Drosophila melanogaster: one gene and its partners. Changing the gene in region 3 together with the main gene of any one other region gives a genetic interaction. Each region holds a gene or a part of one and is shown on either strand. Other genes may lie near its edges.

What was found.
Region 1: of spn-B (region 3) and mei-41, changing one suppresses a phenotype caused by changing the other (phenotypic suppression), as found in Drosophila melanogaster (2 studies listed by BioGRID).
Region 2: of spn-B (region 3) and mei-W68, changing one suppresses a phenotype caused by changing the other (phenotypic suppression), as found in Drosophila melanogaster (3 studies listed by BioGRID).

Annotation. Positions count from the first base shown.
Region 1 is NC_004354.4:16,390,053-16,393,805, reverse strand, and holds the start of mei-41 (meiotic 41), read right to left. Parts: upstream 2,109-3,753; 5' UTR 2,046-2,108; coding exon 1,819-2,045; intron 1,760-1,818; coding exon 1-1,759. Other genes in the region: TH1, read left to right, coding at 2,452-2,514, 2,631-3,343, 3,414-3,753. UniProt on the Drosophila melanogaster protein: Serine/threonine protein kinase which activates checkpoint signaling upon genotoxic stresses such as ionizing radiation (IR), ultraviolet light (UV), or DNA replication stalling, thereby acting as a DNA damage sensor.
Region 2 is NT_033778.4:19,454,146-19,457,898, forward strand, and holds the start of mei-W68 (meiotic W68), read left to right. Parts: upstream 1-2,024; 5' UTR 2,025-2,830; intron 2,831-3,753. Other genes in the region: CG7744 (uncharacterized protein), read left to right, coding at 1-56, 108-1,025. UniProt on the Drosophila melanogaster protein: Required for meiotic recombination. Together with mei-P22, mediates DNA cleavage that forms the double-strand breaks (DSB) that initiate meiotic recombination.
Region 3 is NT_033777.3:14,325,898-14,329,650, reverse strand, and holds spn-B (spindle B), read right to left. Parts: upstream 1,601-3,753; 5' UTR 1,441-1,600; coding exon 1,386-1,440; intron 1,326-1,385; coding exon 1,164-1,325; intron 1,103-1,163; coding exon 759-1,102; intron 706-758; coding exon 241-705; 3' UTR 43-240; downstream 1-42. Other genes in the region: ATPsynE (ATP synthase, subunit E), read right to left, coding at 2,115-2,360; Afti (aftiphilin), read left to right, coding at 3,370-3,514, 3,573-3,753.

The DNA of each region.
Region 1 (3,753 bases), on a different chromosome or scaffold from region 3:
GCCAAGAATCACATTGGGTTCAAAGCACAGAAGGTCCAGATGCTGGGCAATACATTCAAAATCGGGATAAAACAATAAATCATTTGCTATCATTTCGAGGTTGGTGCTTGAAAAGTCTGGACATGGCAGCTGTTGCTTGCATTTTCCGAGGTAAATACCTGGCAGTTTCTTTGGCAGTGGCCTGCATTTCGGGCAGTATAGCTCAATGCGATCTTTGACTTTAAAGACACTCAATTTACCTGGCTGGGAGCAGAGCAATAGGCGTATAACTTGAGCGCGGCCACTACGATTGTTAATGGTGGGCAGAGCTTTCATCAGTTGCTCCGGCTTTATGAAACCCGATATGTACAACTGCGGAAGGTTGCTACAGAATATCTCCTGTGTCTCCTCGGATTGAAATAGCCTCATGTACTGCTGGGCATAGAAGCTTTGCATTTGGGTATGAACACTAGAAGGTGTCTCCAAGCGAATGGCGCAAAGGTAGGACAGCTTCAAATGTCGCTGAAGAATGGCCAGCAGCTGGTGTTGCGTTTGAGTCTTTAAAAAGTGCCGGATGAAGGTGATTTGCATCAAAAGGGAGCAGATTTCCAAGTGTATGTGTCTTCGGTCTGCGGAACACTTTGATTCCAGCTCAACCAGCTGCATTGAAAGGTTATTCCAATTGGTATCCGCAACCTTTATGATTTCACACTGCAGCGGTAACATGGCCAGAACTGAGGAATCGATGTGACCTTCGTGCTCAGCTATTTTATGCTGACTCTGTGACAGAATTAGTTTCTCCAGCTGCTTGAAGCCTCGTAAAATAGCAATCAGTTTCTGCCAATCCTTCGACAATACTTCTTCCTTCTTCAAGATTTCAACGAGACTTTGGGTAAGCACTTGGACCACTCCTGAGCGCATCTCAGTCTGTTTCAAGCCCATTAGCGCCAATATGGGCACCAAATGTGTGGGGTGGCAGTGCCAATGGCTTAACATAAGCTGCTGCAAGTGCACCAGTTGCTCCAATGGTACAACCGAATGCTCTAGCTGGCCTTGAATATAGGAACTTAGGGTCTCCAGCAGTCCATCGTCCAATTCAATGGCTGTCGGCAAACTAAGGATCTCGTTCAAAAGCAGGTAGCCAAGATGGTGGGCTGGACGTGCACGCATATGCAGAACTTCTAGCAGTAGCTTTGTTGTTATATTGAGCCGTTTTAGCTCCTGGCGCGTCATACATCCCATGTCCAGCCACTTGGCTACTGCCGACCACATGATTGCCGTCGCCTCCAACGTTAATTGCGCATAATGTCCAACGTCCGGATTTGTTATCCAGCTGCTGGCCGACTGTGATCGTAGGACATTGTGACAGTAATTCAAGCTGGCCAGTTTTGTGTCCATGTCGCACTCCTTGAGGATTAGCAGAGCCTGATGAAGGCTGCCCGAGAAGATGTCGCCGTGCGTGGCGTATCCAATGTGATGGGCATGCTGGAGGACCTCCAGCAGGCTCTTGGCATACATGTCGGCTTGCTCAAGGGGCACCTTGATGTCCTCGATAGCGCAGTGCGGATCGAACTCCTGCAGGCATTCCACATCGCATCGGAATATTCTTACAGTTATGGCGGGTTTTCGCTCATTACTCAATTGGCCGAGGTCCAGGGAACTTAGCTGAAGGTGCGTCTCCTCAATGGCTTCCACATAGGCCAGTACAAGGCGTTCAAAAAGCTTAGGATGATTGGAACAGCAGGAGCTCAGTATTTTCCTTTGAAGATTGATGCACTCGCTGCAGCAGAAAAACGGTGTGTCATAAGTTTGGAGTCCAATGCTTGTGGCTCATCTTACCTGCTATCTGGAGATTCACTAAGGCACTTGGCCAGCTTGTTGAGCAGCCAGAGTAGGAATGTGTCCTGGAATTTGTTGTGCAGCTCCCGCACCAACGAACAGCTTATCAGACTCGGCTCCTGGCACAATATGTCTTCTATAACGCTGTACACGCCGGAAAAGTTGCTTACGTTCCGGTTTACGTGGTTGTAAAGCAACTTCCACATATCCTTCCGTTGTGTCGACATTTTGCCAAGTTTATTTAAAACTCGCAAAAACGCGACCTTTGTTTACGAAAGCCGGCATTCGCCGCACTTGTGGCTATCGATATGTTTGGCAGCTTCTTCTTCTTTTTCTTGAATAACAGCCACGTTCCAACTGCGATTTTACATATATTAATTTAAAAAAAAATTAGTTAATATATGTTTACATTACCGCGTTTTACACTTATTGACAATTTTCTTTTTCTCCTCAAATTTAAGATTTACATTGCATAATATGAAATTAACAGAAGAGTTTGCTAAGTGTAAACGGCGCATAACCCGCGTAGGTGTGCGCGTCGTGGTTAACAATTTACAGTCACACTAAAAATGCATAGTTAATCAAAATAAGAAAAATATTTTTATGTTATTGTAAATAAGTTTTTGAGAAAAAATGGAAGTGGAATACGACGACTCTGGTTGGCAGGGCCGCGCCAAAGGACAAACCAATCCGGAGGTAATTGAGTATAGAGCGTGTACGGCGTGGCAGGCAATCCCGGCAATTTGATGACGCTACTAGATAAACCATAAAAAATAACAACTAAACATCATGTTATCCCATCCCAATCGAAGGAAACGCTTGAGGACAATCCGCAGAAGACGATACAGGAATGCCTGGAGAAGTTCCTCACACCGGACTACATCATGGAGCCGGGGATATTTACGCAGCTGAAGCGCTACTTTCAGTCGGGCGGATCTCCGGAGGAGGTTATATCGATGCTATCCGAGAACTACAAGGCGGTGGCCCAGATGGCCAACCTGCTTGCGGAATGGCTCATCCTGGCGGGCGTCAAGGTTACCGAAGTCCAGGCCATGGTGGAGAATCATCTCAAGGAAATGATTCTTAAGTCCTTCGATCCCAAGAAGGCGGACACCATATTCACGGAGGAGGGTGAGACGCCCGACTGGCTAACCGAGATGATCGACCACTATACGTGGCGCTCGCTAATCTACCGACTGGCCGAAGAATATCCCGATTGTCTAATGCTGAACTTTACAATCAAGTTGATCTCGGACGCGGGCTTCCAGAGCGAGATCACTTCCATTTCGACAGCGGCACAGCAGATTGAGGTTTTCTCGCGGGTTCTAAAGACCTCGATCGTCAAATTTCTAAACAATCCGGATGATGTGCACGGTGCCATTCAGGAGTGCGCACGAATGGTCTGCCATGGCCAGCACACTTACGTATACTCCCAGGTGCTCATCCAGGTCCTCAGCCAGGAGCAGAAGGGTGGGTTCAACATGAAGCGGCTCTCTCAGGAAATTATTAAATACGCCCTGCAGAAGTATGAAAATAACTGACGATTCCACATAGTTAGTCATAACATAAATCCTTTCTTTTGCTTCATTGTTTAGCAATCAAAATGTAACGCCTATTACAATGGCCCTGAATGGTTCGGCAGTCTATCCGCAAGCATGTCAAGCCCTAACTTCCATGCTCACCCGCAATACACTGAATCCCGCCGATATCACCGTGCTGTTTCGCAACTACTCCGGTTCCGATCCACCGCCCATCGACTTGATACGAAACCCCCAGTTTCTGGAGCTACTGGTAGACGCGCTCTTTCGTTCCGGCGTTAAAATCAATCCCGAGCACAAACCGAAGTATATGTTTCTGCTAGCCTACGCGTCCGCGGTCATCGACCAGCCGGCCAAAAAGCGACCAATGACTGAGCGCATGCTAAACAAGGAGGAG
Region 2 (3,753 bases), on a different chromosome or scaffold from region 3:
GGTATGCCATGGGTATCGAATTCCTGGATCCTTACATCAGTGGAATATCCTTTATAGTAAGTGCATTTACTTATATTTGAATCTTATTTAACAAATTCTTTAAACAGCTGGTGGGAAGTTTTGTAACCCTTGTTTTGTTGGCCACCAACCGGACCAATCTGTTGAGCCAAGTGAATCGGGACGAGTCTGCCTGTGAGAGCTTCCATCGCCTCTGTGCGGACGAATGCGATGATGAAACGCTGAGCATGCTCAGTCAGCAGTTAAGTGGATACAGTGATATCAGCAATAGCAATTTGTCCATGCGAACCGCCTCTGTGTGCCACTCACCCGCCCCAACGATTTCCCAGCGAACAATTCAGGCGCCTGCTTCTTTGCTGTCCCTGGACTCGTTGCATCTGTCGAAGCAACGGATGGAACAGCAGGCTTGGTCCTCGAACTATGGAGATGCCTCTACAGTGGTTGCCCCGCGTGTCCAGCCGGCGATGATGTTTCAACAGAAACCCATGAGACCATTAGAGTCCCAATGGTATCGCCATGGACAAAGTAACCTGGCCCAAGGCAATACTTTCACTAGATCCACGCAAAATCTTTTGATGCCATCGCGTTTGCCGTCCATAAACAGGAACGTCGGCGGAGCTGATGTAAGCGCCTGGGTGGCGGCCAATCAAAGTGTGAACCAAGATCTATGCACTGCCAATCTAATGAGACATTACGAAGAGAAACAGCAGAATCAACTTTCCCGCACTTCGTCACAATCTTCTGGATTTGAGTCGCAGCCACGTCCAGAAGCCCAATGCGGAACAGGTGCTGCAACTGTAAGGGACTACGGCTGGTCCGAAGCCCGTGAGAGTCAGCGAAATTTCGCAGTTTTTCCGCCAATGCCGTCACCTACACCCACAATAACGCCTAGTGAATATCAATACTCGAGGACTGCTCTTCCGCAGCAACAGCCAACTATGCAGCCGGGGGATTTACTTAGGAAGTGGATTGAGATTAACTCAAAATCCTCACAGCCAATACACTAATGTGATGTGAGGTCATAAATATCTAGAAAAACTTAGAAAAAATTCTGGAAAAGATCACCGCCAGTTGGGAAATTATATAAATTTGACTTAACTTAATTATCAAATAATTTATTTTTGACTTACAGTTTTTAAGCTTCTTTATTCTACTAAAGGTTAGTCCTCCCTTTACTTATAATCGACTAAATAAGTAGTGTTTAGCTAGACATTCTTTAATCTGTGTAGCTCTAAGTTTCGTGGTTTTCAATATAGAACTTTTCAGGGAATTGAAAGTCAGGGAGTAAGATTAGAAGGTAATATAAATACTACTTGATTTTAAAGGGAGAATAAAGCTTTGGTAACTAAGTTATTTATTCATTGAAGACAATCATTCAAAGTTTGTTTTTATCGTTAACTAAACTTTTGTGACTCACATAAACTAGATAAATTGTTTATTATACAAATACATATTTTTTGAAATAAAAGCAAAACAAAAAAATGGTTATTATTTTGTTAAGTTAAGTGCAGTTATAAGAAAATATTCATTATCAAGTTAAATTCAATAATAACAGTGACCTGTCTTTTTGGTTGTTTTTCTCTTTTAAAAAATGTTATATTGTTCTCTTAGATTTCAGAACACGCTCTCTTAGTGCAGTGCTGCCAGTTGGTTAACGGCGCGGTGTAGAAATCAAAGTGGCCGTTTCCAAAGTCGGCACGGCACTTCAAAAATTCATACATTTGCCCCTGAAAGTATGTTGTTTATGTTGTTGTTAATATTGAACAAATATATTATGAATTTAAATTATCTTAATAAACAATTATGTATATAAGGTTGTGTAGCCTCTAACCATTCTCGAATGTAAAATTTAGCTGGTTATTTCAAATTACACATTAATCAATCAGTCTGTGGGCGCGGTTTTTAGATGACAGCTTGCTGTATATTTAGTATATAAGTAGTAACAGGAGAAAAAGTTTAGTATTTTTGAATACCGTCCAGCTGGCAACACTGCTACAATATGGCTGCCGTATCGTAATGTGAATTTTTTTGAGAGACCGAGACGTACATACTTTTGTTGCTGCCAAAGTGGATGTGGACGGAGGAAAATAGTAATATTTAACTGCGTTGCGGGAGCGGGACAATCGTCGTTTGCCAATTGCGGCCACCGCTTATGTCGGCTAATCGGCTATCAATAATATTAGTAATCGTATCAATATCAAGTTACCCATTACCCATCGCGGATACACATTAGTTTTGCGAAGGGCAGAGCAGCGCAGAGCATATAGCGAATATTTCCATTTGTTGCCAACAAGACTGTCGTTGTTGTTGTTATTATTGTGGCTTTTCAGTGACTGGGGAGAGCAGTGGGGGTGCGTTCGTAATCCTTGTGAAAAATCGGTGACCGTTCTTCTTAAAAAAAAAGCGAAAGAAAAAACCATCGCGATAAGAAAATATAAGAAAGAAAAATCTGATTGAAAACCAAAGAGCTGCTGCTACTGCTGCTGTGCGAGTGAGAGCGGTCGAGAGGTAGCTAGTGAGCGAGTGAGAAAGCTATGTATTGCATTTGCATTTCGTTGTGTGTGTCGTCGTTTTCGTTCGGTAAAAGTCGGTAAAAAGCAGAGCCTTTCCAAACCTAACCACTTTCGGGTAAACGGAATCGGAAAAGGAACTGGGAAAATCGAAAGAAATTAAATAATAATATGCGTTACATCGATGGCAACAACAACAACAACAGCAGCGACCATCAGCTAGCGACTCCTCTCTGAGCGAGAGAGCTAATAGCTTTTCAGCTTTAGCTTTTCTTGGGCCAATCGGAAATTGTATTTCATTGGTAAGTACAAGAAGTGGCAGCACCATAACCAGCAAATCAATACTTGGGCTGCCATTCCGTTTCGTTCCGTTCGTCAGTTTTCCTAGCCCATTCGTTGGCGCTCTCTCTTTTCCGTCAGTCTCTCTCTTTCTCTTCCCCAAAAGAGAGCGAAAACCCCCCGCCCGCCCACACTCGGTGTATGTGTGCTTTGTAATAACGAGTACACTTTTCTGCACATACGAAAAAGAAGGAAAAAAGAATAATAAAATAAGAAGAAAAAATGAAAGACCGAATAAAGAAATTCACATAAACTTATGGCACTCTCCCTCGCGCTCTCTTCATTTGCAACTAGTGTGCGTGCTTAAATTTTTAAAAAACAGTTGTTTTCACCGAAAGGGAATTTTCATTTCGATGGTATATTTTTAGCCAGCAAGCTCCTTTCGGAAATTATTTATAACCCCCCTCGAAATGTTTCCACGCAACGATTTACGCGATAAACTTTTACAAAATCAGATATAAGTAAGTGCAAAGACCACTTGATTTTCGTATAGTATGTAAGTCCACGAATTGCTTACGTATTTATGAAATATTACTGTGCGTAGGTCGGTGGGCGTGTTTCAACGTTTTAGCCCACAGTTTTCACTCATTTTCCTGCGGGGTTTCCGCTTGTGACAAAGGCATTCAAAGAACCAACAAGAAAATCCCGGGGGCGTGGCACCACCCATGCAATTAAATTAGACCAAAAAAGTGCTTACACTTTGTATTCTAGAGAATGTTTCAAATCATTGAACATAAACAGAAGAATTCATGCGAATTTAGAACTAATGGAAATTGGGAGCAAGGATACATAAAGTTGGAGGAATTCAAAAATGTAATTGTTTAAAATTTAAGCGTTAGTAACCAAGTTCTTGTTAAAATATATGCCGCTTAATTAAGTTTAAATC
Region 3 (3,753 bases):
AACCTTTTGTTCCTGAAAAGAAATAAGAAAAGCATGTTTTCTAAATTTGTTTTTATATATTTTAATGATACCTAAACCTGATTGGCAACTAAGTAAATTTAAATTATTAAACCCTAAAATATTCCGCTGAATTTAACAGGAGTATAAGACAATCGTATGGCTAATTGAACGCTCCGCCGTTACACATTTTAAATTCAACAAATTAAACGATAACAAAATAAACAGAATAAATTCAATCAATCACAGTCGACGCATTTTGGCGGGTGGGCTGGGAACAGATGGCTCTGGAACATTGACCACACCTTCTGCGGTGATAAGAAACTCGGCGAAATCATTGGGAGTCTCTGGTGAGTAAAGTATTTCCAGTTTGCGCACCGTTATCAGTTGATCACCCATGCGATGCTGCTTGGGCACCCGGGAAACACGCAGTCTAGTGCGTCCTAGGTGCGCCCACTGCAATCCCAAGCAGGGAATCTCATCCTGACCGTCCCTGGTGGCCACCTGATTCACACAGACCACGGCACAGTTGTACTTATCCGCGTAGCTGAGCAGAGCGTCTGCCAGTCGACGCATATGTCTCGCTCGTTCCAGATAATCATTATACAGCCGGAATATGGCGGCCACAGAATCAATAATGATCAGGCCAATGCCATGTTGTTGCATCAGTCGCGGAATGCGGTTTATAACGCACGCCAGGAGAGGTTCCTTTGGATTAATATTAAATAAGCATATGGCTACAAATTGGTTTGTCGACTCACTGCCTCAATGTGATTTTCCACAAAGATGTTTCCCAGAAAATTCAGCTCCATTTCGGGATGCCTCTTCTCGCAGGCTTTGCTCATCTGCAGCAATCTTCTCGCCGGAAAGGAACTCTCCGTGCATATGTAGGCCACGCCTTTGCCCAAGCCACCCAACTCACGGGGTAGCTGGACACAAAGGGATAGCTGAAGAAGCAACTGGGTCTTGCCCACGCCGGCTGCTCCACATAGCTCTGTAATTCCACGAGTGACCACTCCCCCGCCCGTGCAGCGATCTAAAGCGGAACATCCAAACGACACCCGCGACCATCTAACATTGACAAGCGGCTTGAAGAGGGAATCCGCTGTAATAAATAGTGGCAAACTAAACACAAGAGGCTACTTATACATTAGTCTGAGAATCACCTGACTGGGGCATCTCTGCCAGCCACTTGGCTGCCGCATCCTTGAGCACCCTAACATCATCCGGAGTGCATTTTCGCACGATTGTGTGCAGCGATTGCTGGCGGGTGTCCAGGAATCGCACCTTGGGAGTTGTCAGCACCTCCTCCGGTGCGAGAACATTAACTGGAGTACAGGAATTTAGTTGGCTCTTGAATAAAGTTGTTGGAACCCCAAAACTCTTACCCTGCTCGGCGATTTCTCTGATATGCTTGGGCAATTGATCCAGAAAGTTTGTCATCGCGATGCGATGGCATGTCCTCGATGGGATTGCGTGATATAATGGCTCCCCGAAACACGAAAGGTGTCTCAACACCTCCGGAATTGGAAGTATTCCGGGGGATTATTGATCAAACAGCCGAGCCATGCGACGACTTGCGAGCGAATTGAAAGTGTAAATAAACGCCGGTTGAAATCAGCTGTTGGCGCCAATATCTTAAGTGGGCCAATCAGCTGGCAACTACAGTGGGCATCCAATAAGGTAAACTATCAGTTGTTGTTTATCAAAAAAGATTTAAAACAAAATTTAGGAAAATTATTGATAATCAATTTGCAAAAATATTTATATGTACTTCCTAGTCAAATTTGGAGCTCAAACCCTCTCAAATTCTCTCAATCCTCTCCTATCCAAACACTATGCTAATATAAATATATTTCCAGTGAACACCACTTAATCACAAACACGAAACACTTGAGAGTATTTACATAATGGTTTTGTTTCAATCATTTAATTTCGAACATTCTGTTTTTTGCACAAGCATCAGAGGAAAACACAAAAACGATAGTCAGTGATCGATAGATGGTGGCTCCACTATCGATGATGCTCCTCCTTTTGGGCGAACTTCGTGTGTAAATGTTGTGGTTTTTCAATGTTTTTAAGCTAAGGGAACTGCGGATGTTGCATCCTGAAGGATCCTAGTGCTTGGGAGTGGGCTTCGAAAGCTCAGCCAAGGCACGGGCCTCAGCCTCTGCGCTGCGCTTCTTCTCCTCGGCGAGCTTGGCATCACGGACGGCCTTCTGCTGTGCCTCGATCTCGCGCAACTTCTCCTCCTTCTTGGACAGGCGGCTCTGGTGGGCGGCGCCGTAGGCAATGCCCACCAGGAGCAGGGACCATCTGCCGAACTTGATCAGCGGGGAAACGCGAACGGGAGCCTGCGACATGGTTTCTTCTTCAAGTTATGTAATTGTCCGACCGTGAACTGCAAGAAAAGGATGTACTTTAGTTATCCGACTTCCTTAATAGCGTTCCCCGTCTCGCTCCACTTTACAGATTCCTGGTTTTCCTAGTTTTATGCAATATTTGATGTTAAATAAGCAAAATTACCAAATTGGTGGAGCGATTGCAACGGCAGCGCAGTATAACCTTAAAACAGCTGTCAAAACTGACAGGCGGCTATCGATAGTTGTATTGGTACGGTGGCGGCGTTGCCAGCAAGCTTAAAAAAGTATGCAGAAATTGTGGAAAATATCATAACAATTTAAAAGAAGCCTTTATGACGACTATTTGTTGTTTAGTGTCCCAACAAAATTTGACGTATTACATACTGCAGCCTAGACTTTCATGTATATTTTACTCTTGTTACTAATAATTTTCAAATACAATTTTAACGGTAAAAGAATTGGAAAGAATAAAAATCTATTATAGAAATATAACTAATATAACTATTCTATCTGAACTATGGATAATGATTTAAATCGAAAATGGGAATTGAAAAAGATAAGATTCAAATTTTGTATGTTATCAATGTTGCGCAACGTTTTTCAGCACTGTCGGTTGGCCAAAAGTTAAACGTTCACACTGTGGGCAGAGGAAAAAGTATTGTTTTCTGGAAAACATGGCTAATTGCAGATAAAACGCGACTTGCAAATTCGGCAAATCTGTTTTTAGAGCCACCAATAAGGCGACAATTAGACATAATACAGAGACACAACAAAATTGACGCGTGTTAAATGCAAACAAGAAAATTCCAACACAGACCTTGAGTGGCTAACACACACACACACACTTGCAGGCCCTCCACACCTGCGTCACACATACACACCACACACACAGTGATAAAGTGGAGCGAGAGAGATAGAAGATCGAACCGTTCCCAGCGTTTTTGTTGTTCTTCTTGAAGCAGGAAGTGAATTTTAGGGGATCCTTTTACTGAATTTTGCAGCTGGCATTATGGTGAATGTACCACCGCTGCTCTGCAGCACCCCCCCGCCCATCGATTTTGGTGAGGAAGACGACGATTCCGGTTTACAATCCACCATCCATTTGGACGAGGGTGACGAATACTCAGATTTTGGCTTAGTCAGCAGCTCGAAAGGCAAGCTTAGATATTTATCGAATCTCAAAGTGATACTCAGTTAATTCTCGCTTTTTAGAACCCCCTCCACCACCAGATCCCGTGGAGGAATTTCGAGAAAAGCCACCTGATTTGCTGGAAGACAAACAAACCGTCGAGGCATTTAATTACCAGGTGAAACAGAAGATGGATTACGATGTTTTCGAGGAAACAGCACCGCCGACGCCGCCTCCGTTGAGCTTGGAACTGGATGATGAGGA